Styela clava: one gene and its partners. The protein of the gene in region 2 purifies or fractionates together with the protein of the main gene of each other region. This does not show direct contact. Links are inferred from orthologs where the notes say so. Each region holds a gene or a part of one and is shown on either strand. Other genes may lie near its edges. The genes, in order: DNA-directed RNA polymerases I, II, and III subunit RPABC5; DNA-directed RNA polymerase III subunit RPC8-like; DNA-directed RNA polymerase III subunit RPC10-like.

Region 1 (7,737 bases), on a different chromosome or scaffold from region 2:
TTGGCTTAAATTCTTTGCAGGTACTTTTGAAAACAAAATGTTGTATGCAATGAATTATAATGATGGTTTGAAACAAATACCCCATTTTACTCGAAACCACTCTCAAAATAAAATAAGTCCCGAAAATTTTGCAATGCTAAAGTATAGGAAGAATATTTTCGAGGGTCAAAAGTCGGGGAAAAGTCCGTTACAGCTTCTTCTCTGTTTCATTCAAATTATTTCTTTTATAACAAGTATTCCTTAGTATCCACACATAGTTAGTCAGATAACTGAGGCCTACACGCGCCACAATATCGCATTGAGAGAATACCTTGACGCAACATTCAAGCGTAACGAGAGAACTGTGTAACATAAATAAACAAAGACGAAAAAAGCGTGAGCGAACTATATTAAGTGACCTATGTGTTACAGGCAAAAATTTCACTGGGGTGAATTAACTGTCATTATGGGCGACCTGTTTATGATGTGCTATTTAAATTACTTAATGGACTAAAGAAGGAGGGCGCAGCGCGCCGGGCGAATTCCGACATTCTTCCGGCGCAACGACCGTGGTGCATCCATCAAACCCTAGTATATATTTACGATCAAACTCATAATCAAACATCCACTTTTTATACTCAAATCTTTTCCTTACATTTCCCCTTGCGGGTAGCGTAGCGACCGTCCCCCGGGTGTCCTATTTATTAGTGTAGAATACAGTGCAATAAGGCTTGGTCTCATCGTTAGTCTCATGAATTTGTTAGTGTGCAGCAAGACTCCTAGATCACTTAGGATTGTTATCTCTACTCTTGCTACAGCATCCTTGCAATATATGCATACGGATCCACCGGCACAAAAGCATAGAAGAAGGATAAGTAGTCTTGCAGAAACCAAATAATCAGCGTATATTATTATTTGATATTATTAAGTTAACTATGAAAATACGGTAACTGGGGCTGAGAGTGAAATTAACCGGTTATCCACAGCGTGGCGCTAAAGATTATATAAACTGTTTCTTTAAAAAGTGGGATGAAGGAGTAACGGTACGGGTATTGATTTAATAGTGCAAATTTAATAGTGCAATCCTCCCATAATTGTTGGTATTATTGAAAGCTCAGATATGCAGGTAGATGTGTCTGTTCCGATGTAGGTATTTACATGCATTGGGGCAGTGTCATTTGGGTGCATATCTGAGTAGAGTATGAGTCCCCTCCCCGATATTCGTTCACGTCACATTTACGATCACAACCTTTCAGCACCCTGTTTTGGCCAAACTAGAAATAGTGATAGATTCCCGCTCGGTATACATAATCCATACCTACTCGCCTACCTACAGCTCGCTTCGCGTCAAATTTCGTCCAAAAATGAGATTTTTCTGGGTCAAAACGCCACTAGTGGTCGAAAATGACCAATTTTAGAGCACGAAACCTCTTTTTCTATTTCAGGAAGAACGGAAGCATATGTGGAGGTTAAAATAAAGATAGAGCCGTGAAAATTGGAGGGGAGGGAGAAATTTCATCCACTTCTTCCTTTTAGTGTTCAGCTTTTTAGTGACTTCAACCACATCAACACCCGTCGGGAGAAATTTCATCCACTTCTTCCTTTTAGTGTTCAGCTTTTTAGTGACTTCAACCACATCAACACCCGTCGGGAGAAATTTCATCCACTTCTTCCTTTTAGTGTTCAGCTTTTTAGTGACTTCAACCACATCAACACCCGTCGGGAGAAATTTCATCCACTTCTTCCTTTTAGTGTTCAGCTTTTTAGTGACTTCAACCACATAAACACCAGTCGGAAGAAATTTCATCTACTTCTTCCTTTCAGTGTTCAGCTTTTTAGTGACTTCAACTATCTCATTATTCGTCGGAAGAAATTTCATCCACTTCTTTCTTTTAGTGTTCAGCTTTTTAGTGACTTCAACCACCTCATTATTCGTCGGAAGAAATTTCATCCACTTCTTCCTTTTAGTGTTCAGCTTTTTAGTGGTTTCAGCCACCTCGGAAGAAATTTCTTCCACTGCCTCGTTTTAGTGTTCAGCCTTTTAGTGTTTTCCAATTTTTCACCTTCGGGAACACCTCAACTTCCGTTTTTCCTCCACCTCATCCGTTTCTTCTTTCAGCCTTTCAGTGTTGTCCCAAATATACGTTGTTGATCGCAATTGCCCCACTGACATGGTGAAAGTAGAGGCGGTATAAAGGGTTTTCCGGTCACGGTACCGGCATGATTTTAAGGGAAGTGATTGAGATGGATTTGTAGAGTATGTTAATGATAAAATGAAGTGTTTTCTGTGAATACAAAGCATATTAGAAGCATTTTGGTAAAAATGATCGCATAACGGGGAGGGGACTCTATGTGTATTAAATTTAAAATTTTTTGTTAAAAAAAAAAGAAACGGGTACCGTATTAATTACCAAATATACAGATATATGAGTAATTTCAATACTTTTTCAGGGCAAACATCGGAATATACAGATTTTGCATGATTGAATTTACATATTTTTTTGTAAAAACAAAAACTATTGTGACTGGCGAATAGGTGTCGAATTTTGCAAGTGACTGATTTTTCTCGATAAAAGTTGGTATTTTTTCACCATATTTTTCAAAGATTTTTTTTGTCAGAACTTGCTATACTTTTCTTTTTTAATGAAATTCTTTATTCTATGACAATTTTATCATTTTTAATAATACAAAGAGTAATACTATTTGACAATCTACGGTCGATCAACTCGCCTTTTACATTTATTTGACATTGAATATTAGGGGTAAAATATCGCGGATCAATTGAAGAATTCTCACTGATAGGACGTGTCAAATTCAGCAAGTGCATAAATAAACTGAGTCAAATAAACTTATACTACACTTTTTGATTTTCGCAATGGGGCTTGCCTGTTTTTTTCCACTGTGATTTTGTTTTTGTAACATACAGACATAGTTTCAATCCTAGCGTTTTATAGGTTGTTTCACTATTGCAGCCTGTGTTCAAATTCTAATTTTGAATGATGCAAAGAGACTCACTTGCTGTATTTGAATTGAATTAACATTTTAATGTCAGTTTCTACGACTGGAAGTCTGTATGAATTCTAATTCAGTCTTATAATTGAATTACTCAAATTTAGATTCTGATCTTATTTTTTTGGTCGAGCAACAAATATTGTACATTTGAAAAAAAAATGAAAATGAGATAAATTTAGCGAAAAACATACAATATTTTAACTGCATTGGACTAGTGGCTGCGAAAGACTATCAGTGTAAGAGAGAGGCTACCATTTTTCATCATACTATTTTAAAAGCCAATTATAAATTGTTTTATGGTACTAAGTTGTTAGAATTCTTGTTTTTGTTGTTAAATACCGGACTAGTTCTGTAGTTGCTTTAAAATTTGTATGCATTTATCTGTATTCAATTTGTTTTTTAAAGTAAACATTAAGCAATGTATGTATGTTTACTCGTCTCGTAAAAGCAATATAGCCTAAAATGATTAGTAATTATAAATACTGAAGACTGGATGTATGCACTTTTGCTTTTGATATGTATAAATTCTGAAATTGTAATACGGTAAATCAAATTTGTATAATATGGACTTTATACAGACAGTTGTGCAAGGAGGGTGGGTGTGTGTGATACCAGGGTGGAGTATACAAAACTGTTTACAAAATTAGGTTTTTAGAAAAAGCCTGAAACTTGACAAGTGCCTGGTGTTTTCATTAAGTATTCAGAATTGCCATGTTTTACTATTTAAATATCAATTATACATTATTGAATTGAAAGGAATATTGCGATATAGAAGGTGCAATTTTATTCAATGTCTAATAAAACTCAAACCCCAATAAACTACGAAAAAAATGAAAAAATAAATCTTAAAAGTGATTGAATTCGCAAGTGCCTGTTTTTAGAGAGACCTGTTTTTGAATTTTGTCCTATGATTTATTCAGATTAACTTTATAACTACAGATCCATTTAAAAGTAGGCATGATTATTCCTATAAGATGTTTCACATGTGGAAAAGTAGTTGGAAATAAATGGGAAGCTTATCTCGGACTTTTGCAAGCTGAATACACTGAAGGAGATGCGTTAGATGCCCTTGGACTGAAACGATATTGTTGTCGTCGCATGTTACTGGCTCATGTTGATCTTATCGAAAAACTTTTGAATTACGCTCCACTTGAAAAATAATTTGAATTAGCTCAACTTCATAAAAATTGTAAAGTATGGACAAAGATGTTTGAATTTTGGAATACGAAACTGTGAAATTATAGGTCAGCTTTCAATCCGGACAATGGTGAATCATTGCAATATCTGAATATTCTACTGTTTATATGAAACCTGAGGTATCAGATCAATGTAACTGATGTCTAAATGATGTTAGAAACCTATTGTATAATATTTGTTGCAGAGCATAAAACTGGCATGATCATATTCGTTATTTTTTAATATACGGCAGCATTGTATGTTATAACTTTTCATTTGTGAAGTTATTGCGAATTGTAAGCACCTATTTGTCATATTTTGTCTCAAGATAAGTGTGAGTTTCTGTGTGCTTATTTCATATGGACTTTTATTTACAGAAACTGTGTCATAATGTGTTCCACTAAATTGTGAATAATCTGGGAGGTTGAAAAAAGTGTTTTTTTCCTTAGATGGCTTCTTATTATGGTCGATTGTTTGTTAGAATTGCTGGAATATCTGGTGCTTCTGCAGTAGGATTAGCAGCATACGGAGCACATGGTATACATAAAGAAGATGAGCACAGAAAACTTATATTTGATAATGCAAATCGACAACATTTCTTTCATACTCTTGCTCTTCTGGCAGTGAGCCGATGCAAATATCCATTACTAACTGGAGCGATACTGACTACAGGAATGCTTGTGTTTTGTGGAAGTTGTTATTACCAATCAATAACAGGAGACAGTTCAATTCGACCCATAACACCATACGGAGGAATTTTGTTAATCGTGGGATGGCTGTCTATGGTGCTCTGACATTGGCTGTGTTACAAACACTATCTGTTATATTTTGCAGAATTTACCTTTTTAACATGTAAAATGCAACATATTTTGGGATTCAATCCATTTATGACAGTCGATCATTATTAATAATGTTTGAAATTAAATCTTTTCAATCATATGTTGTCCTAATTACTTTTTGTCTTGTATTTGTATTGTAGGTTTTATTAAATAATTTTTCTTTATATAAAAGCTGACAGGGTAGACATTGACTTTTATTAAGTATAAATAACATGGACAATCAAGGTAAAGCTATCTTTTTTTTTCAAATGCAATTTGTATCATTCTAAATAGTATAGAGAAACATTCACAATGAATAATAATAACATGTTATTATATTTTATCCCTTTAATTTTTTTTTTAAAAAGTATGACGGTAATCGCCGCCCATTGCTGAGCTTTTTGATTGTATGCACTATGCATATTATTAAAATAGTGTACGTTAAAGAGTACTCCTGTAGTTAGGGCTAGGCCCTAATTTTATTCAGATTTCCCATATTTCAGTTCTATTACGAGATTGGGGACTGTCTGTGTTAGCCAAGTGAATATACCCCCTTCACATTGGTTTCAGTCCGTTTACACAACTTGATGTAAAGTGGGTGAATAAAATTAGTTACCTCCAAATTGGTACACACACTTTTGGAGCGTTCATTAAAGTACTTATTGATTTTACCACAGAACCAATGATGTTGGGGTCTCCTGTTGGCCACCATCCATCACCATCAACAAGTGGCTTACATCACCAGCATGGTGGGAGTCAATTTTTACCTGGATATCTGATGGGCGACCCTTCAGTGACCACAGTGAGCTATAAATTTATATCTATAAGCCTATGCTTATCTCTTATCAGATAACATTTCTCATTTTCGTTCCGATTTAGGCTTCGAAATTTTTTAAACCTCTTTCAGAGTTCAGTAGGCGCTGATGTTTTGGGTCGAAGGACGGTTTTTAAATGAGGAAAGAAACCATTCCTGGAATCCTTCAAAGTCACTGTAGTAAATTCTCTAACTTTTTGTAAAATTTATCTTACGTTTCTTTATTCAGACACCGGTATTAAACAGATCAATGAGTGGAGGCCACGCACATCATCCCTATATGAACTCTCCATCATTTGGAGGTTTTACTCCTAGATCTTCACCACCTAGTGCTACAATGTCACCGGGAAATAAGTTTGGCCATCTTATAAGGTTTGAGAATGTCAGATTTACTCTTTTACTACTTACTTGTTGGCCTGGGGATTGAAGTGTTATGGCAGGTTAATCTCCTGGGCAGTGTTCACTATTAGCGCACTTTTTTGCGAAAATTGCGAAGCACTTTCGCAACTTTTTTTAGGGACTGCGAAATAGCACTTTTTTCCGATTTTGAAGAGAAATAGCACTTTTTTCCGATTTTGAATGGAATAAAAATTCAAAGTTAACAAATTATTAAGAGTATTAAGTTGACAAATAAGTAACATACTAGTACTTTTGTAACTCAATTCTGCATATCATAACGATATTTACCGGAATTCTAACCTATGAGATGCAGACATAGGAGATAAAGCTTTTGCATTAACGGCAAAATTCTTGTTTATAATATGATTATTATACAAGCACACCGATTCCGCTTCTCCCGCAAAAACGCTCCACGTCTTTGAAACCAGATGTTGGAATACTACCAGTGCCTTTCTTTGAACAAAAGTGGTCATGTGACTATCAATGATATCGTTGAATTCAAAATGACTATAAAAGTGTTAGTAAAGCGTTATAGTCACTTTGGATGTATTGTGACCAAAGTGCACGATTTTCAAATCAGACGAAACTTTTAGCAGCATGTCACAGATTTGCAAAATCACCAAATTCACAAAATACCATTAAGTGCCATTTTATTGTAATCACAATGTTGAAAGCACGTGGCATTTTGCGATATTTACACAACTATTTCTCATTGATATGCGAGTACGGGTGGGCAAAATTCAATATTTCATTGAATTGAATATTTTTAACGAGTACCGAATAACAAATATTTTTGGAACGTCGGTTGAAACATTAAAAAATCGGCAACAAAGCCTTTTTACTGGTTAATTCCGTTGTAATCGCTAATTGTTCTTGTCACCGATCGTTTTGGCGGCGATATCCAGGTTTTGTTAATCTATATTCCCGCCCTCTCTTTTTTACAAATATGAATTCTTGCGGGTCGGCGGACAGTTTTATATTTCGGGTTTACCCGTTTGTTCACATCGGCAACAGCTGTTGAAGACATTGAGGACTCAAATTAACATTTGCGTTGGCTTTAATATTACCTATCAAGATTTGTAAATTTACAGTCCCAATTTTATGCGAATGGTAATATTATTGTCGATACCGTGATGCTGATATTTATTAAGACGATAATTAACTTTCTCATGTTTTTCTATGGTGATAAACTTCGCAAATCTGAAATTGTGCCAATCCTGAATGTTGATTTAAAATAGTGATTGAATAATTCGGCAATAAAGGCATTTCTGCGTGGTCATAAGACGAGATAACGTTAATGAACAGCACTTCTTTTACAGGATATTTTACGTATGCGACTTAATGCTAAAAAGATTGGACTCGAGTGCTTTTTTTTTCGAGTGCTCGAGTGCCTAATAGAGGTCAGGCGCTGATTGTAACTAATTCCCTCAAGTTTCAACATGTTTTCAACAAAACAATACCCCGGCGATAATTATGGCTAAAATGTTACCGAGCAATTCCCAATTTTATTTATGGAATTTGAAAATTCACCAGTTTCTT
Region 2 (8,767 bases):
TGTGCTCGATATATTTCAATCCAATACCAAAGAATGATTGATTATTTTTATTGCAAAACTTTAAACGAATATTGTCTGAATTGCACCATATTTTACTTACTTTACTTTGCCATATCAGTAATACAACAATCTTATACATATCACAATATTTCCTCCTATTTGTGAATAAGATTTACATGCTTATCCCAGAAAGGAGGAAAGCTTATACGAAGGCTTAATCATATGGCAAAATAGAGCCCTTTTCTGGTTACCAGTCCATGTCGGTCGACTATGGGATTAGTTATTATCCAGGTGTTTTCAGATGCATGGACTTGATGGTGGAGGAAGCCATAACCTGCCTGCGGTTACGTGAAACACTCTATCCTAATCTGCCCTATCGCTTAGTTTTTGTTCTATTTTTACAATACAAAGATCTAACAAAAAGCTTGTGCGATTCGAACAACCCATGTCATAAGATCGATACCCAAACTACTAGAAAGCCTATGTTAAATATAGCCGCTGCCCCCGGATTTCACACAAGCACAGCCTGGGTGTATGGATGTCCTCGTAACTTTCAACATGGCAGCTTTCACACTGCATCTTCAGAATTCGATTTCTCTCAGCTTTAATTCCTCAGCCATTGTTCCACCATGATAATAAACCAAGACCGGAATCAGTAATTGAAGCCTGAAAATATGAGAGCAGAATATTAAAAATTTTAATCTCTCAGAAGTAAAAAATTATTAAAACGAACATTTTGATATCACTGTTGCAGTTGCGAATAAAATATATTTCACTCCAGAGAATATCGCCGTTGGGCATGTGCCCCTTTTCAGAACGCAAAACAATCCCTCCATAAACACCAGTTATTGAAAATTTTTAGCATGTCGTTAAGTTCGCCCAAAATCATGTACGATCGATCAACCAACCATGACGCCGGAAGTGTTGGTCGACCCCTACCAGTTACCACCTAACCCCGGGTTTCCTAAACGAGTTTGGGCGCTCCAAAAGTATGTGTACCAATACGGCGGTAACTAATTTTGTTCGCCTACTTCACACATCGATTTGTGTAAAGGGACTGGAACCTATGGGTATATTCACTTGGCTAACACAGACAGTCCTCGAACTTGTAATAGAACTAAAATAAGGAAAATCCGAATAAAATTATGGCCTGACCCTAACCTGGTACACATACTTCGGGAGTATCAGAGTTTGCTTGTCACAACTTGCTCCTAGAATTGATAAATTGTAAAGCAACCTCATCCTCACAGTAATGTCATTTGTGTTGTTGTGTTGCAAATGAAACGCTATCCTTCCTCGTTTGTTAGGCAAATAAATTGATACGGAGCGAGAGTAGAGGGGTCAGTCAAAAATACTATTCACTAACAGGGGTCTGTGACCCAAAAAGTTTGGGGAACCCCTAAGTTTGGGGAACCCCTATCTAACCCACCTCAATTGAATAAGGAGTCTTGCTCTTCGTTTCCTCGACTGAAGTTTCCGCTGTTGCGGGGTCACTAGATGGCACAGAACTCGGTGTTGTATCAACAAATGTTTCTTCCATGACACGAAACCGAATCTCCTCCCCAATGTCCATAAATAACTCGTGAGTGCCATCTTCTGTCTCGTATTCCCAAACCCAAACCTGAAGAAAATTGTTATTATACAAACACACATCTAGCTTATTTATAAGACATGGCCAATTTCAATATAAATATAAAAAAATAAATCATACAGAATGAAGTTGTTGATGATGGCTAATAATGCCTCGTTGAATAATGTCCCTAATAATTGATTGTGCTATCTGTCTGTTGTTAACGCGTCGCAGTTGCGTCACTCGCTAATTTATTCTGTTGCTTAAGCACCTATGTTGTGTGTTATGTTGGTGTAATAAAAAAATAAGACTAATCCCAACAAATTTCATGAGCTATTTTTAGCTAAAACCTCAAAATTTGGTTTCAGTTCGGTTGTTGCAGCATCAGACAGGACAGATTGAAGTACCCATGGGTCGTAGTTTACCCATGTTACCCAGGGTTAGTGGCTAACGCGATCATTCCAGGGTTGACACACCCCAATCAAGATCTGTACAATCACAGATATGAAGTCGCTATAGTGAACTTTTCAAAATTCTTGTGCAATAAGTAAAAACCTTCATGCTTAAATGTATTGTTCATGTTAGAATAAATGCGCTCCTACCTGTTCTGCTTCATCAAATTTTGAAGGTTGTTGCAAATTTTCTGGCGGAATGAGAACGTCGTCAAAGAATCCCATCGTAACTGAAATAATACAAGTAATACTGTTGAGCAGGGGCATATCCAGGGGGCTGGTTTTGGGGGTCAAACCCCCCCCCCCCCCTTTTGAAATGTAAAAAAAGTAATAGCATGTTTCTGTATCATACATAGCAATTTGTCGTAGCTTGAAACGCTCTTTAGACCCTCAAGATTCATGAAAACACACGTTTTCTGTCGTTCTGACGAATCCGCTAGTTGTTTCGATCTAACTTAGCAAATATAAATTCCAGAACCCCCAGCTCGGAAATTTTTTGCTACGCCCCTGCTGTTGAGTATATTTCATTTCTGAGTCATTGAATTAGCAAATTTCCTCACAAAAAGCTTAAAATGTGGACTCTCTAATGACTCCATCACCAACAACCTCCGCTAGTATAATATAATATTCATCATATAAAACCTAACAAAGCAATACCCCGGATACCGTTACTGCATTTAGTGCCGCTGTGACTTTAGAATGCTGTTCCTATGGTTACGGTGCTTAATAATGTGCTCAGAATTTTTATTTTTGTATGTATTCGTTTTGCTTTTTGTTATGCTGTAATCTTTATTTCATGATATAATGTTTGACTCTATTCTCTCTAATATATTAATTACTGTTAGACTTTACAATGCCCGTTAACCAGTTTCGGTTTCTCGCGCCACCTTTCACCCTGGAATGCCATATTCAAGTTTGTTCATTAGACTGTTCGAATAAAGTATATTTTCTTAATGGTTAAAAAATAAATAGTGATTACTGAAACGTAATGTTTAAACTTACCGCAGACACCATCTCTGCTGCAACCTTTAATTTTTCCGATCAAAACTTCGTCTACGAATGGTCGAAACACAACATATCGAAAGCGAACTGAAATGAGAAAGAAAATGTGCAGGTCAGAAAAAACTTCCAGTTTGTTGAAGGCATTTAGTGGCAGTGCTCAAGACATTGACTTACTGATTATCACCTCTCGCTGATAATGTGAAATATTCGGGCCCTGAGCTGGGTACTCCCGTAGTATGTTTACCAGGCTAGGGTTAGGCCCCAATTTTATTCCGATTTTGGGTTTCAGTCCCTGTCCATACATTGATATAAAATAGGCGAACGAAATTAGTTACCTCCATATTGGTAACACACTTCTGGAGTACCCTGAGCTGAGTACCAAGTAAGGTGTATCATTAAAATTGAATGAATCATGGTCAGTTCAAGTTTAGTTTTATTTTTAAAGCATGGAGGAATGTTAAAATCAATACAAAGCCTCATATTCATTACAAAATGTGTCAACATTTAGTTTTTATGAATGTGAACAGCAATGGTATAATCATCGGCTTTTGGGCCCAGATCAGGCATGGTTGGTCAATAGATCATTCAAAACTGATTTTTGAAGGATATACACAAAAGAATTTAACTTTACCAAATGCAATTATAATAGTAGAAAGCACTTTAGGATATTATTTTGGTACTCCAGAAGTATGTGAACCAAGATGGCGGACACCGGAACACAGTATGTGTACCAGGTTAGGGTTAGGCCATAATTTTATTCCAATTTTCCTATTTTAGTTCTATTACAAGTTCAGGGACTAGCCAAGTGACTCCCATAGTCTTTGTACCTGAAGTTATGGCCTAACACTTTAGGATATTATTTTGGTATCCCGAAGTATGTAGACCAAGATGGTGGACACCGGAACGTAGTATGTGTACCAGACAGTACCAGGTTAGGGTTAGGCCATAATTTTATTCCAATTTTCCTTATTTTAGTTCTATTACAAGTTCAGGGGCTAGCCAAGTTACTCCCATAGCATTTGTACCTGAAGGTATGGTCTAACCCTAACCTGGTACACATACTATGTTCCGGTCTGCGCCATCTTGGTTACATACTTCGGGAGTACCTTGATTTGTAGGCATCTTATTCGTCCCTTTCCCCTCGTCACCACCTACTTTGGACCCACCTGTGACCGCTTGCCTCAAGGGTGTTTGGACAAGGTCTTGAATGCCCCAGCAAGTCATTCAGTGAACATAGGCAAGAAATTCTAAAATCTTATTTAAATTCGCATTGTGTAATCAGCACAGGAATGGTCAGCCGCCACTAAGCATGATGGATTAAATGTTGAATCATACAATTGGTACCTAAGAAATAGTATAAGGGTGTCCATAAAGTCGTGAATTTTTTTTTTTAAATTGCAAAGGGGATTTATCTATGCCATGTATTGTTTTGGCCCTCACAGATGTATTGAATGAAGTAAAAATACTTGAACAAATACAGAATGAAAAACAACAAACCTGGCTAAGATATATTGGGAACTGACTTCATAACAAAATTGAAATTGTAAAGAGACTTTATGGACACACTGTATATTGAATTGCATCTGCTTTTTACAATACCTTTAGTATGGGCAGCTCCATCCCCAGGAAAAATATAAGAGTCTTCAAGTTTTAGAATATCGAATAGACAGATGCACAGGCCAACATTATACACAACCTATAATAAAATAAAGAAAATTTATGTTTTATGTGGTGCGCTCACTCAAAAAAATCTCTACATAAGCAGCAATTGAATGTAAGATACTGCTATGTATTTTGATAGAATACAATCTTTCCAGAATGCATACGACCCACCAAATTCATTCCCATCTACACACTTTTCAATGCACAAATAACACCAGTCTGAATTCTTAAAAAAAATTGCTTTCCGATGATACTAATGTTGAACCTATTAGAACTCGCTTTTTATTGACCCCTTGATGACCCTGCTCACATCATGTACAGAATGATTATGCGAAAGGAGATTACTTAACTTCTCGCTGCCATGGTTGATGTCATGTAATTGACCAGGTTTCTACACATTATAAGTTATATAGGATATCCATAAAGTTCCTTTACAATTTCAATTTTGTTATAAAGTCAGTTCTCAATATACCTTAACCAGGTTTGTTGTTTTTTTAATTAGTATTTGTAAGTTTTTTTACCTTATCTAATACATCTGTGAGGTCCAAAACAATATATGGTATCAATAAATTCCCTTTGCAACTTAAAGACCTAATGGACGCCCTATAGGCCTACATTTCAATTCATACATAGAGTCCATACATTTAAAACAAATAATCAGTAAACTATTCCCAAACCAGACATGTACTAGTAACTGTACCGGATACCGTGTCATGTCATATGATTGAGCCGTCTTATCTACCAAGATAAACCAACAGAAAACCTAGGTAACTCACCTTATTAGCGAGCTTCTTATTCAATTCCACTGATATTGCATCAAGTTGATTCACATTGAATAACCAAGGCTGGATCTTAACTGTATCCGTCATTTCAATCACAAAAAACATTTTGTCATCACTAGTCATACATGGGTTAATCTAGGCTTCTGAGTAAATAGACACCATTAATTGACTTAACCTCGCAATAAAATCAATCAAGCATGACCCGACAGAATTTATTAAACTTCACTAAAGTTTATTATATTCTGGCCAATTATGCTTGATTGAACAAGAGGTGTTGTGAAACTTTTTTATTCAGCAAACTGGGTATAATTACACAAGAGTAAAATATGGATGTGGGACTAAATTTTACTAGCAATCAAGTGTGACCTGACAGAATTTGTTGAACTTTACTGAGGTTTAGAATATTCCGACAAATTAGGCTTGATTGAACACAGGGGCTTACGGTGAGTCTAATTAGAATTATTTTCATTGAACAATATGGATATGATAACACAAAGAGTAAAATATGAATGTATTAGTCTGGCTTTAACTAGCAATCAAGTGTGACCTGACAGAATTTATTAAACTTCACCAAGGTTGAGATATTCTGGCAAATTATGCTTGATTGAACTGGGGGGAATTGAGTTCAAATTGGACTATTATTTTATTCAGCAAAAAGTAAACTATGAATATGCGAATCTAAATTCAACTACGATAAGTTTACCAGTATCTCCATTACACTTGCTCAGAACAGGTTGTTAAAATCAGTTAGTAGAATCAGCAAGTCGACCGGTAGGATTTAGAAAACCAACATCCAAAAAAAGGGTTAATTTGGTGCTCCAGAAGTATGCGCACCAAGATGTCTCACCACCTGAATCCTAACCAGTACACACATACTGTGTTCAGGTTGTGCGCCATCTTGGTGTGCATACTTCTGGAGGTCCTCTTAATATACAGGGTGTTTGAAAATTTTGCCCGATTCTATAACAATTGTAAGTTCAAATAAATTTTATTGTATGATAAATAAGAACTACAAGAACAATATTAGGAAACGGAATGAAGAAATTTCCAAATGTTATTACTATGAAATTGAGCGAATTTTTTTGGACAATCTGTATAATCGGTTCTATCTGTGAGGGGGCGCTGTTACAGATTTAGAGATACAAAATCGTATTTATAACATGGAAAAGTTTAAATTAGGGGTGTGCAACGTGTGGCCCGCGGACCAAATGCGACCCACAAATAAAAATTGTGCGCCTGCGGAGAAATGCCAATTTCAAATGGTGTGCGGCCCACGTAGCGAATTTCTAATTTAGTCTAATCTGGTACGTGCACGTAATGTCAAACCCGCTGTGTTCAATCCAATTTACTACCTATGCCTATGATGCTACAATGCCCTAACAGCAAGCTTTTGCGAAGCGCGCAACGCTTGTCATAAGATCAATGCCCAAAATTTTTAACCCACCTGGATAAAAGGTTGCACACCCCTGGTTTAAATCATTATGTAGAATAAAAATTATTGTATGAAAAATGTGGCAACAAATCTTAAAAAAACATCTGAACATCCATTGTTGGCAAAATTCCTAATTAAGTGCACTGATTGACAGAATCATTGGCGATGGTAGACAGATTAGTCAGAAAAATAACAAAATTTAACTCAGTACAATCTTTATACGAGTGAAATAAATGAAAGTAGTTCATTGGAACTTGCGATAGGATTTTGCATATTTATCCTGGAGGAAAAACGTTACCACCCCAAATTTTTAGGACTGTTGACTTTTGTTACATTCTCTTAGGCTAGAACTGAAATGCGCAAACTGCGACCCGCGGGCCAACAAATCTGCCCGGTTGGGTAATTCAATCTGGCCCGCCTGATGTTGTGTTGTGTCAATTCGTGTTGGGGAAATTACTGAATGGATGGTACCAGAATTTTAACCATACAGCCAGAGATGGCCAATAGCATATTTCACTATTCCGAAAACATTCTTAAAAAATATTTTTGAATATGGAATATCAAAGACATTCTAAATTGGAGGAAGTTGAAAAATCATACGGTTGATCACATCTGAAATTACATAAATATGAAGATCATTGTTTTTCTGTGTTGTTCGTTATCAGTCAAAATATGACACGCTTTGATCTGCCTGTCTGAGAGCTTGAAATCTCCAAATATTCTTTATTTATTTCCATATTCAAATTTTTTTTATATCAAATAATTAAATTGCATGTATTCGAATATTCGATTAGTTTTGTTGGACATCCCTGCATATAGTGATCATGGCTTATGCAGGACACTCACCCATTGTGAACATGGAATAGCTCTGTAAGAGGTATTTATAATGTGTGATTGATACTATAATAAAATATGTAGAAATATAGAAAAAGTGCTTTGTGACATAATTCAGTAATCAAAAAATAATTTGACACGATTTGTATCATATCAAAAAAACGGTGCTCCCGAAGTATGCGAACCAAGATGGCGGACATCGGAACGTAACATGGGTAACAGGTTAGAGTTAGGCGATAATTTTTTTCCAATTTTCCTTATTTTAGTCCTATTATTAGTTTGAAGACTAGCCAAGAGCCTCCCGTAGTATTTATACCTAAAATTATGGCCTAACCCTAACCTAGTACACATATTACATTCCGATGTCCGTCATCTTGGTTCGCATACTTCGGGAGCCCCAAAAAAACATACTTGATTAGGCATAAAATATCAAATACGATCAAAAATAATTATTGTAAACCAGTGGTTCTCAAACTTTCAAAGCCACTTCTTGGAATTAGTCAAGTCTCCCGCACCACCTAAAAAATAACGACCGGTAGCCAACAATAAGCTACGAAGAACAATTAGTAAGAAATAGGAAGTATGTTTTATAAAAAAAACACATTGAAAATACATGGATGGGGCGAAATTATCCAAAATAAAGGAATGTAAATATCCAATATAAGGTGGGCAGATCAAATCTAACAAATCTTTTTATTTTTAATAATCTTCATTTCCCTTGTGAGGGGCGCCCTATCGTCTCAGAACCACTGCTGTTAACTTTATGTATGATTATAATTCAAACAGAAAATAGGGAAAATGAGGAAAATTAGTATGCATTGCACAAAAGTTACGTTCTCTCTATAATATGTCCTGATGATCTGGGTTCTGTTTTTCGGGTCAACTTGTACATAAGAATATTATAATTTCAAAAAAATCAGCATTGCCAATAGCCAACTACTTGCTGTAGCAGTATATGCATATGGTGACACCAGTGCAAAAGTATAAAAGAAGCATATTTATTTCGGCCACACTTTGTAAAACTGGGCCTTCG
Region 3 (8,767 bases), on a different chromosome or scaffold from region 2:
AACCAAAAGGTATAAGAATAAATGCATTCAGTTCAGATTTTAGTCTAGTTTTTAGCGTGTATTCGGTTATTAAATGACAACATGACCTAGGACATTTGTTTGCAAAATGATCATATTCTTTTTTTTTTGTAAACATTGATACATTATATTTTATGGTCAAGGCATGACATGATATAAACATACTTTATAATTCAAACACATAAAGGCCATCAAGCTCATTAGAAGATTTTTCCAGTCAAGTCTAAAAGTCTTTGATTGGATGTGCATTTTCATCAATTTTGGACTGTTTTTATAATTTTTTTTTGGTGTATTTTTAGTATTAGTTTGGTTACTGGACTTGAATTGTTACTGTTAGGCAAAATACAGAGAATAAATTTTTGTCCTATTCTGATGAACAGAACAGCAAAGTGTTCTGTCCTATCTATGAAATATTTCGTATACATTATACGCTCTTGATTACTTAAACATTTTATATTTCTCAAATTTTTTTTGGTTGGACAGTATTGAATTGATTAAAAACTGTTTTCCATATTGTATCACAAACTACGAAAGTTTATTTATATAATCAATATTTGTTGAATATGTGGCATTATGGGTTAATTCAGACTTAATAAAACTATATCTACTATTGTCTATTCAGTTTTATTCCAAAAATAAGAGAAAAAATTATTTTAGTATCAAAAAAATATATATCATAAATCAAACGAAATTTTTGTCATGACGTGTGGTATTTCATTGCTCCTTTTTCAATATATCATTTTTTTACTTCTGCCTATTCTAATGAATTTTCATGAATTGCTTAGCTTATTTCTGTAATATATATCAACTAAATATACTAATTATGATATAAATCAATGAATTATCTCCTTGTGTTATTTCAACAAAAGGAATCTTACAACCATCAAATTTGACATGACTGTATTGAAAATGTATTCAAATTTGCTGGGGGATGTTACCCAATGTAGTGTTCCCTCTGTGAGATTGCCCTATTTCAGAAGTGGTCATACGGTATCGATATATTGTTATCCAAACTTGTTATGGTAAAGAAATTATGATTGGTTATATCCATCATCTGTGGTCTTTTACCAGTTATGTCCAATTTTGATGGTGTCTATATCTTTTGTCGAAATAGCCATTTCAAAATTATTTTTTTATGCCATGTTAAAAAATCAGAATTCTGTAATTTTTATCTATGTAACATTGCCAATTTTATCATCATCGATACACATTTTAAAATAGTACAAAAGTTTTGCAACATGGTACAAATACGAACGTTGTCTATTTTCATTTTGTTGTTCTGAGATATTTAAGGTGAATGGAACTCTTTCTCACCCGTTATCAGCAAACTGGTGTGGCGTATTCTGCTGAGCGTTAGGAATACACTCGCCACAGCACCTCTGATTACCCTGCATCGGTTCGCAAGTTCGAATCCTGTGGGGATAATTATGTGGGAGGGTACGCCGTGGGGTGGGTGGTCCACCTAACAACCCTAACCGACATGGATTGGTAACTGGACTAGAGGTGCACTGATACCGATATTTCAAAAAGCCAATAGTCTGATACCGGAACCAGGTAGTTATTACTATTAAGTGTGAATGGCAGACTGGTTAAAACGATGGTGTGTGAGCATTATTCATAATGCACAATATTTCAGTTCGAAAAATAGGTATTCGGATGCATTGTGCACTGACGCGAGTAATCTCGGTGTTCAATTAGAAAACTGGTAGGTTTGGCTACTATTGATGGTAGCATGAATAAATGTTTACTCATCCTATAAAACTGATACATCGAGTTGCGTGCGTTGGATTCTGTGCCAATATAACATCTTATTTCGCATTTTACACATTGAAAAATCCACTAATATTGATTGATATATTTCTACTTAATTTGCATGTAATATTGAAAATGTCATTGTAAAACTTTGGCAGCGAAAATAGCCAAATTAGTTGAGCTAGTTTGGTTGATAAATAGCTAAAACAGGTCGAATTCCTATTCCCTTTTCTACTTGTGTGGGTGTGAACGAGCATAGCCAGAGTTAACGAATTACCGCGGACATGATCCCTACACGCAAAAAAATAATAATTTCAACATCCGTATTACAACTAATTTTAAGACATTTTGAATCGGATTAAAAAGCTGAATATATCGAAAATATCGGTCTACATTTAGCCGATACCGATACATCTCTAAACTGGACGAGGCCGAGGGCATCGATTTCCGTAACAATGACCAATCAGCAAAAAGTCAACGATGACGTAACAGTTGAAATTTGTGACCGCATCTCTGATTACTCTGCGTGGGTTCGAATCCCGTGAGGATGAAGGGATAGTTTTGTGCGAGAGGATTGCTGGGCTTCTCGCCGCCGTGTGGTGGTTCACGTACCGTAAAATCGGGTAACTTTGGATGGAATTATCAATCGTTTATATCTCGGCTGAATTGCGATTTTAAAATAGCAACGACTAAAATATATACATCAAAAGTTTTCTGTGGATCTTAAATTCATGGCGTCAACCACTGATAATTTAATTAATTATAATAAAAATCACAATTAACGAAAAACATTTTCATTCGATTTGATGATTTCAAATTTCTCCATTTGGAACGGCAACATAGTTTAAAATAGAAAAAATCGTGAGAAGTCAAGAAATACTGCTTAAATATAAAAAAATATATATAACCAGCGAAAAATAACAACAATCATTGTTGCAAGTGAGTTCAGGTTAATGAACCCTAACGAAAGTAATTTAATTTAAAGTTACCTATATAGACCATTCAGTTAACCATGAATAGACCTTATTCATTAAAATCCCATCCTACGCGCAAATAGAAAAGTGATGTAAACAAAACAATTTCACATTAACTCCTAAGCGTACAAGAGCTATCAAAACAATATCGGCTATGATCGGGGAATATTTGGATCTAAAGTTACGATAAGAGAAAATACCACGAGACATTTTAGTATGAAAACAACTTGAAAGTGCCGCACTGGAAAGTTTAAGGTCGATAGATAGATAATGATTTATTTCCGATACAAGTACATAATACAATAAGCATGAGCAAATAACAATAAGCATCCTTATCCTTATCCTTATCCTCGTCCTTATCATGGCGACCGGGATCGAACATCTAGCATTTACGCAACGACGTAAAGTGTGTTTGGTCTTTTTAATCACGCACTTTATATGATGTATAAGTCTAATATTTTTTTTCGAAAAATTCAATTTTAGGTGGGATCCATTTTCTCAAAAGAAATACAGTATTATTGAAAATAAGAATATTCCGCGTGGGAACCGATTGTCAAACCTCAAAATGATTTTCCGATGCCACAAAAAAATTGTCACATAATCATCATAATGCTGTAGCACACCGGCTGTACGGTATGTTAATCGTTGGGCTGTACTGGAGCTGTGAAACAAATGCTTTAATTTTTATTTTTTTGAATTCCCACTACTGTACTACCTCATTCACTTTACAGACATTTCAATTTCAACATTTGCTTTAACCTTGTAAAACATATTTACAATAGGCATGTTCTGATCTAACTATCTGATTCAACTTTGCTATTAGGGTTCTCATCATTTGGCAATGTTGTTGTTCTGCCCTACTTGCGGGAATTTGTTAACAGTCGAGGAGGGGACTAGATGTTACAGGTACTGCACTTTATCAATAGATTTCTAATTATATTTTGAAATCCACATTTTTGCATTTATTCCTATTACTGTATTACAACTACTGATAGGTAACTCAGTAACTTTTGGATGCTGGAATTATAGCTTGTCGATTAAAAATACTGAAATAGAATTTTTTTGCTTCTATTGGTTTACTGACCTTTCAATTGAATTATTCATATTCTGTACTGGAATGTCACAATTTTGGATATAATTTGAGACTTGAAGCAAAAATGTGATGTTTTGAAATGTTGTTATTAAGTTGAGTTCACATCATACCAAGTTATTGGCAGTATTGTGTTTTGAATCTGATCTAATACCAGGGATGGCTAAAACCGAACATAATTCGCTTTACAGAAAACTTTTTGATATGATATTTGCCAGTATGAAATATAATAATTTGGATAAAAAGGAATGACGTAATTTTTGGATGACGTAGTCAGGTGGGGGTTAGAAATGACATATGCGAAAATAGTTATGCCATGCCAACTGGATATACTTGGCGGTGTTCAGTGAACCAGCCCTCTCGTGCTGTTTGCATTTTCACAATATTTTTTTGGTTTCAGGTTTGCTTGCCCAACTTGCCCATTCATTCATAATATTAATAGAAGAATAAGCGCAAGGAAATATCCAAAGTTAAAGGAGGTGGATGATGTGTTAGGTAAGTGTACCAACTACTAATGTAAAAATTTCTTATGATTATTTCGAAGTTCACTAAAAGTCCTAGAGTGTATGCGTAATAGGGTAAGAAACTTCATATCAATCCGAAGTGAATAATCATATGTGGTATCCTATCCATAGCTCAAGCCAGTTTTGTAAACAGCTAATCAATTAACCATATTTGATATAGTGATCTGAAATGTGTTGGGTATCTATTAATACAGTGGCCGTGATTGCTTTGTTTGAACATATTTGTAATGCATTTTTTCCAGAGATTGGAATCATTCAATAGTGAATATTTATGTATTTCATCTTCGCTAATAACCTCATTATGTAGATAGGTATGAATGTCTATATCTGTAGACCAAACGTAATCTCACAAAATTTTTTATGAGATCACACTAGTTCTCATGGTGTCTTTTTCAATATAATGTCTTTTGTCAGATTTGTCTCTAAAATTTCCAAGTGTCTTTTTTAAAGTATTAATATTTTTGAGATGGGTTTTATTACCATTCATATACTTAGTGATTCTGAATATTAGAGTTTGAAAGATTAATCAGATTCATTTTATGATGTTAGTCCCAAAGTTATTCGAATCCAACGTAAGCGGGGAAAGTATTTACATGAGATAGGTCTTCTAGACACCACGCTGCCCGTGGGTGGTTCATGTAACCACTGGTCAGTCATGGCCTCCTTGCACCATCATGGCCATGCATCTGAAACATCTGGTAACTTAGCTAGCCAATCCCATACCCGACAAACTGATAATCAAATCAGAGGTCGTGGTACGCCATTTTATTAATCAATCATCCACTTTCCTTTCCTCTCCCTTCGGATAAATATGAAATTCCCATCCTGTGTACTCACAAATAATACTTTTGAATCCCCTTTATTTTGCAGCTTTTCATTCGGTTTTCGATGTTGCAAATCTCATTGTATATTTTTTATTTTAAATTCAGTCATTCACATCTCTTTGGTTTTCCAGGTGGATCTGCTGCATGGGAGAATGTTGATTCAACAGAAGAGACTTGTCCAAAATGTGAACACAAAAGGGCATTCTTCATGCAAATTCAAACTCGATCAGCAGATGAGCCAATGACAACTTTTTATAAATGTTGTAAGATTGAATGTGGTCATCGTTGGAGGGACTGATTTGGTCAATGTAGCACAAAACGATATGGATCATCTTGAGTCGGGAGGGAATGATATTAGAGCAGAAATTGGAAAATGATTACTAAGTGGATGTCAATGTGTGAAAATAAGAATCTGAATTCTTCACAATGCTCAAATTCATTAATAAGTTACAAGCTTTTTATAATACACCTTCATGCATCACGAAACTTGTATTAGAGTAGAAGGATTCACAGTTTCCATACTGTAAGGTTTCCAGTTTGGTATGGACACTACTACCAGCTTGGGTGAGGTTCTGATTGAAAAATTCTCAAATATCATCTTGAATCTCTCTATCACTTTTTGTAATGAAAGTCCGCAATTAGTAATAAAAACAGATAGTTACTTCATTCAGATAACATAGAACGCAACTTTCGTAATTAATATTTTTTATATATATTAGAGACCAAAATCATAAGTGCTAAGGGCCCACAAAAGGTGTGACATGGCCCTAGCGATAACAACCTGCTATTCTGCTGATACAAACATGCGTGGTAAGGTTTTCAATTTTATCTTGTTTTGATTATGATTTATATACGATCGATCGTGGTAAATCGTCAAATTTGATCTGTTATTGATTCCTTTCCATTGCAGTCGATTGGTTGTTTTCAAGATATGTAATAGAATCCCAAGGATATGCATTTATTTTAGTGGAATAGAAAACTGATTGACCATACCTATCATTGATTACCTTACATTTCATCAGAAAAAGATGGCGTGTGCCCTCTACGCAGTTTCAGAATGAATATAAAGGTACATCATCATACGCACAATTTGCTGCATATCATCTGTAGTGCTTGCGATAACATATTTTATCTGGTCCGTGTAGTCTGGTTGTCCATCAGCCCTAAACAGCTATGACAGTCACTGTACCGAAAGTTGTACCCTAATTCAGGTGGTGTTAAGTTGACGCATGTTATTTAGTAACGTTTTTATGTGAAATGTTTGGCTGTGGTACCTGATACATTACATAATTGACTTATAGCACTAGATATTTCAATTGATGTTTCAATATAATCAAGAAGAATGAATCATTGTCACAGGACCTAAAATATCCATGACAGTCCTTGTACCGTCACGGTACCCCAATACAGGTACTGATAAGTCACCCATATGATTTTTGGAGAATTGTCTGCGTGTCCATACATTTGAGAATTGCTCTCTTGTGTTGTTCTTGTTCATTGACACGTTTTGAAGAAATCGCTTTTCTCTTTGAATACTGGACCGATTGCTTTGAAATTTTCAGTGGTTTAAAGATGGAATTATTTTCCAGAAGGCTATTACTTTTATTTTTTGCTATGATCTAATCTAAATTATGTGACGCTACGTGTCCACATATTTGAGCATAGCTCGCTTGTTCAATTTCAGATAACATGTCATAGATAATAACCAGCTTCATTATTATTATATATATATATATATGTAGGACTCTAAAATCGTAAGTGCTTAAGGCCTCTAATAGCATGATCCGGTCCCAGAAACAGGGGAACGGTTTGTCGCAGCTTGCTACGGTCACGCATTGCAAGAATTGTTTTATAGCCACGCAGCTGCTGATAGCACACATTCGACAGGTATTTGGCGGCAAAATCATTTGGTAACACACTGCCTCTCCCCCTGTTACTTACCACTTTGTATTTTTCATGTTAATTCCGGAGGGGAAGAAAGCCGATTGTTTAATGGGCGTAATCATATGTTGGTACATAGTACCTACGCCACCCAAACTATATAGCAAAGGTCTCGTGGAAAATGCTACCAGAAAATATGATGTCTGGTATTATAATATATGTGATAGATAGTTCTGCAGCTAGCAGTTCAGAAATAATATGAAAGCGATGCAGGTGGAAATTTCCAGGCGTGCCCTCGGGATAAAAGTATGTAGTCGACAAAGATAATGGACCTTTCCCCGAGCATTGACTTCTTTGTTTACTTCGTGACATTGGTCAATCAGCAAGATGCAAAAAGTGACGTAACCATGCTCCCTTTCCGCTTAGACACTTTTCTCACTCAGAGAGGTTTTTAAGCATGGTCGTAACGACGTAAACATTACCTTGTTTTCGAGTTTTTGAACGCTATTCGTTAGTTTTCAGTTGTGTTTCGGAAATTTAAATATAAATCAGATAATGCAATGATCACTCTGTCTTACTAAAAGTTTTAATTTTATTGCAGTAATAAAAAATAGTGTAGTGATAGACTAGGTTAACATTCTTTACCGGTACTTTTAAAAAACAGATTGTTGTCTGCGATGAATCATAATGGTGGTTTGAAACACATACCCCACTTTACAGGCGCCAACTCGCAAAAGCACTTTAAAATTAGCCCCGAAAATTTTGCAATGGTAAAGTATAGGAAGAACTTTGCGGGATTAAAGGTCGGGGAAAGGTCCATAAATAGCAAAATAGTGGGCGCTGCCAAACTTATCAATCGTGTGCCTAAATAAAAAAGTTCGGAACCCCTCCAATTTTTACTGACCCTCCATAGATAAGGTTCATAATTGGCTTCAAAAAGATGATTCAAAATAGTTTTCACACGTACACGGCAAGTGGGAAATATCGGAAGCATAACCTTTTATCTGTGGAACAATAAGAGTTTCAAATTCTCAAAGAAACCGTAATACTCTCCCCAAACGTTCTGATCTTTCTGGACTTGCAGTCATAATAGCGATGTCGCGTTATAGTTGATAGATTGCTTTTATACGGGGGAAATAAAATATCTACGCATGAAATTCTCAGATTTGAGTAGCTGCTTTTTTCATCATTTCTATCAATAAAATGATTTACAGCGAAATTTTTATATTACCCGTATACAAATGATCTTTCTGAATATAATGACAATCAATAGATTTTCGATTAATCGAATACAAATTTTATACTGGAATACGTATATATATGATTATGAATTGACATTAAATCCTGTAGTCAGTAGTGCATTGAGGAATGAGAGATACGCAGATAAATATAGTCTGCCGCTGCTTTTTCATCATCTGGAGCGTAATTCATAAAACTAATCCAGACTAATGAAAATAAGCACAATTTGTCAAGAAAAGGGCATTGAATTAATGAATATGTACAAAGAATCCAGCAATTTATAACAAATGAATGGGTCAGCGACATAAGGGTAATATAATATGAAAAAAGAACAATAGTCTCAACGTTTGGCGCATTGCGCCAGCGCAGGGGTTTGCAAGGTTTTTGGGCCAGGGGCCACAAATTTTGTGCACCCAGACTGACAGACCATGTAGGTGTGACGTAAAGTTACATTTTATAAACAAT

What was found.
Region 1: the proteins of DNA-directed RNA polymerase III subunit RPC8-like (region 2) and DNA-directed RNA polymerases I, II, and III subunit RPABC5 purify together in Homo sapiens (affinity purification with mass spectrometry; 4 studies listed by BioGRID and IntAct, with this or other methods). This does not show direct contact. The link is inferred for Styela clava from reciprocal best matches to the Homo sapiens genes POLR3H and POLR2L.
Region 3: the proteins of DNA-directed RNA polymerase III subunit RPC8-like (region 2) and DNA-directed RNA polymerase III subunit RPC10-like purify together in Homo sapiens (affinity purification with mass spectrometry; 3 studies listed by BioGRID and IntAct, with this or other methods). This does not show direct contact. The link is inferred for Styela clava from reciprocal best matches to the Homo sapiens genes POLR3H and POLR3K.

Annotation. Positions count from the first base shown.
Region 1 is NC_135252.1:12,672,901-12,680,637, reverse strand, and holds DNA-directed RNA polymerases I, II, and III subunit RPABC5, read left to right. Parts: upstream 1-3,883; 5' UTR 3,884-3,948; coding exon 3,949-4,152; 3' UTR 4,153-4,616; downstream 4,617-7,737. Other genes in the region: transmembrane protein 256 homolog, read left to right, coding at 4,617-4,961; nucleoporin NUP35-like, read left to right, coding at 5,219-5,231, 5,663-5,787, 6,029-6,171. UniProt on the Homo sapiens protein: DNA-dependent RNA polymerase catalyzes the transcription of DNA into RNA using the four ribonucleoside triphosphates as substrates.
Region 2 is NC_135263.1:3,399,091-3,407,857, forward strand, and holds the start of DNA-directed RNA polymerase III subunit RPC8-like, read right to left. Parts: upstream 5,595-8,767; 5' UTR 5,592-5,594; coding exon 5,463-5,591; intron 4,721-5,462; coding exon 4,624-4,720; intron 3,112-4,623; coding exon 3,025-3,111; intron 2,253-3,024; coding exon 2,173-2,252; intron 1,622-2,172; coding exon 1,430-1,621; intron 667-1,429; coding exon 613-666; 3' UTR 1-612.
Region 3 is NC_135259.1:11,000,002-11,008,768, forward strand, and holds DNA-directed RNA polymerase III subunit RPC10-like, read left to right. Parts: upstream 1-3,432; 5' UTR 3,433-3,585; coding exon 3,586-3,650; intron 3,651-4,234; coding exon 4,235-4,329; intron 4,330-5,313; coding exon 5,314-5,480; 3' UTR 5,481-6,625; downstream 6,626-8,767. UniProt on the Homo sapiens protein: Core component of RNA polymerase III (Pol III) which synthesizes small non-coding RNAs using the four ribonucleoside triphosphates as substrates. Can mediate Pol I proofreading of the nascent RNA transcript.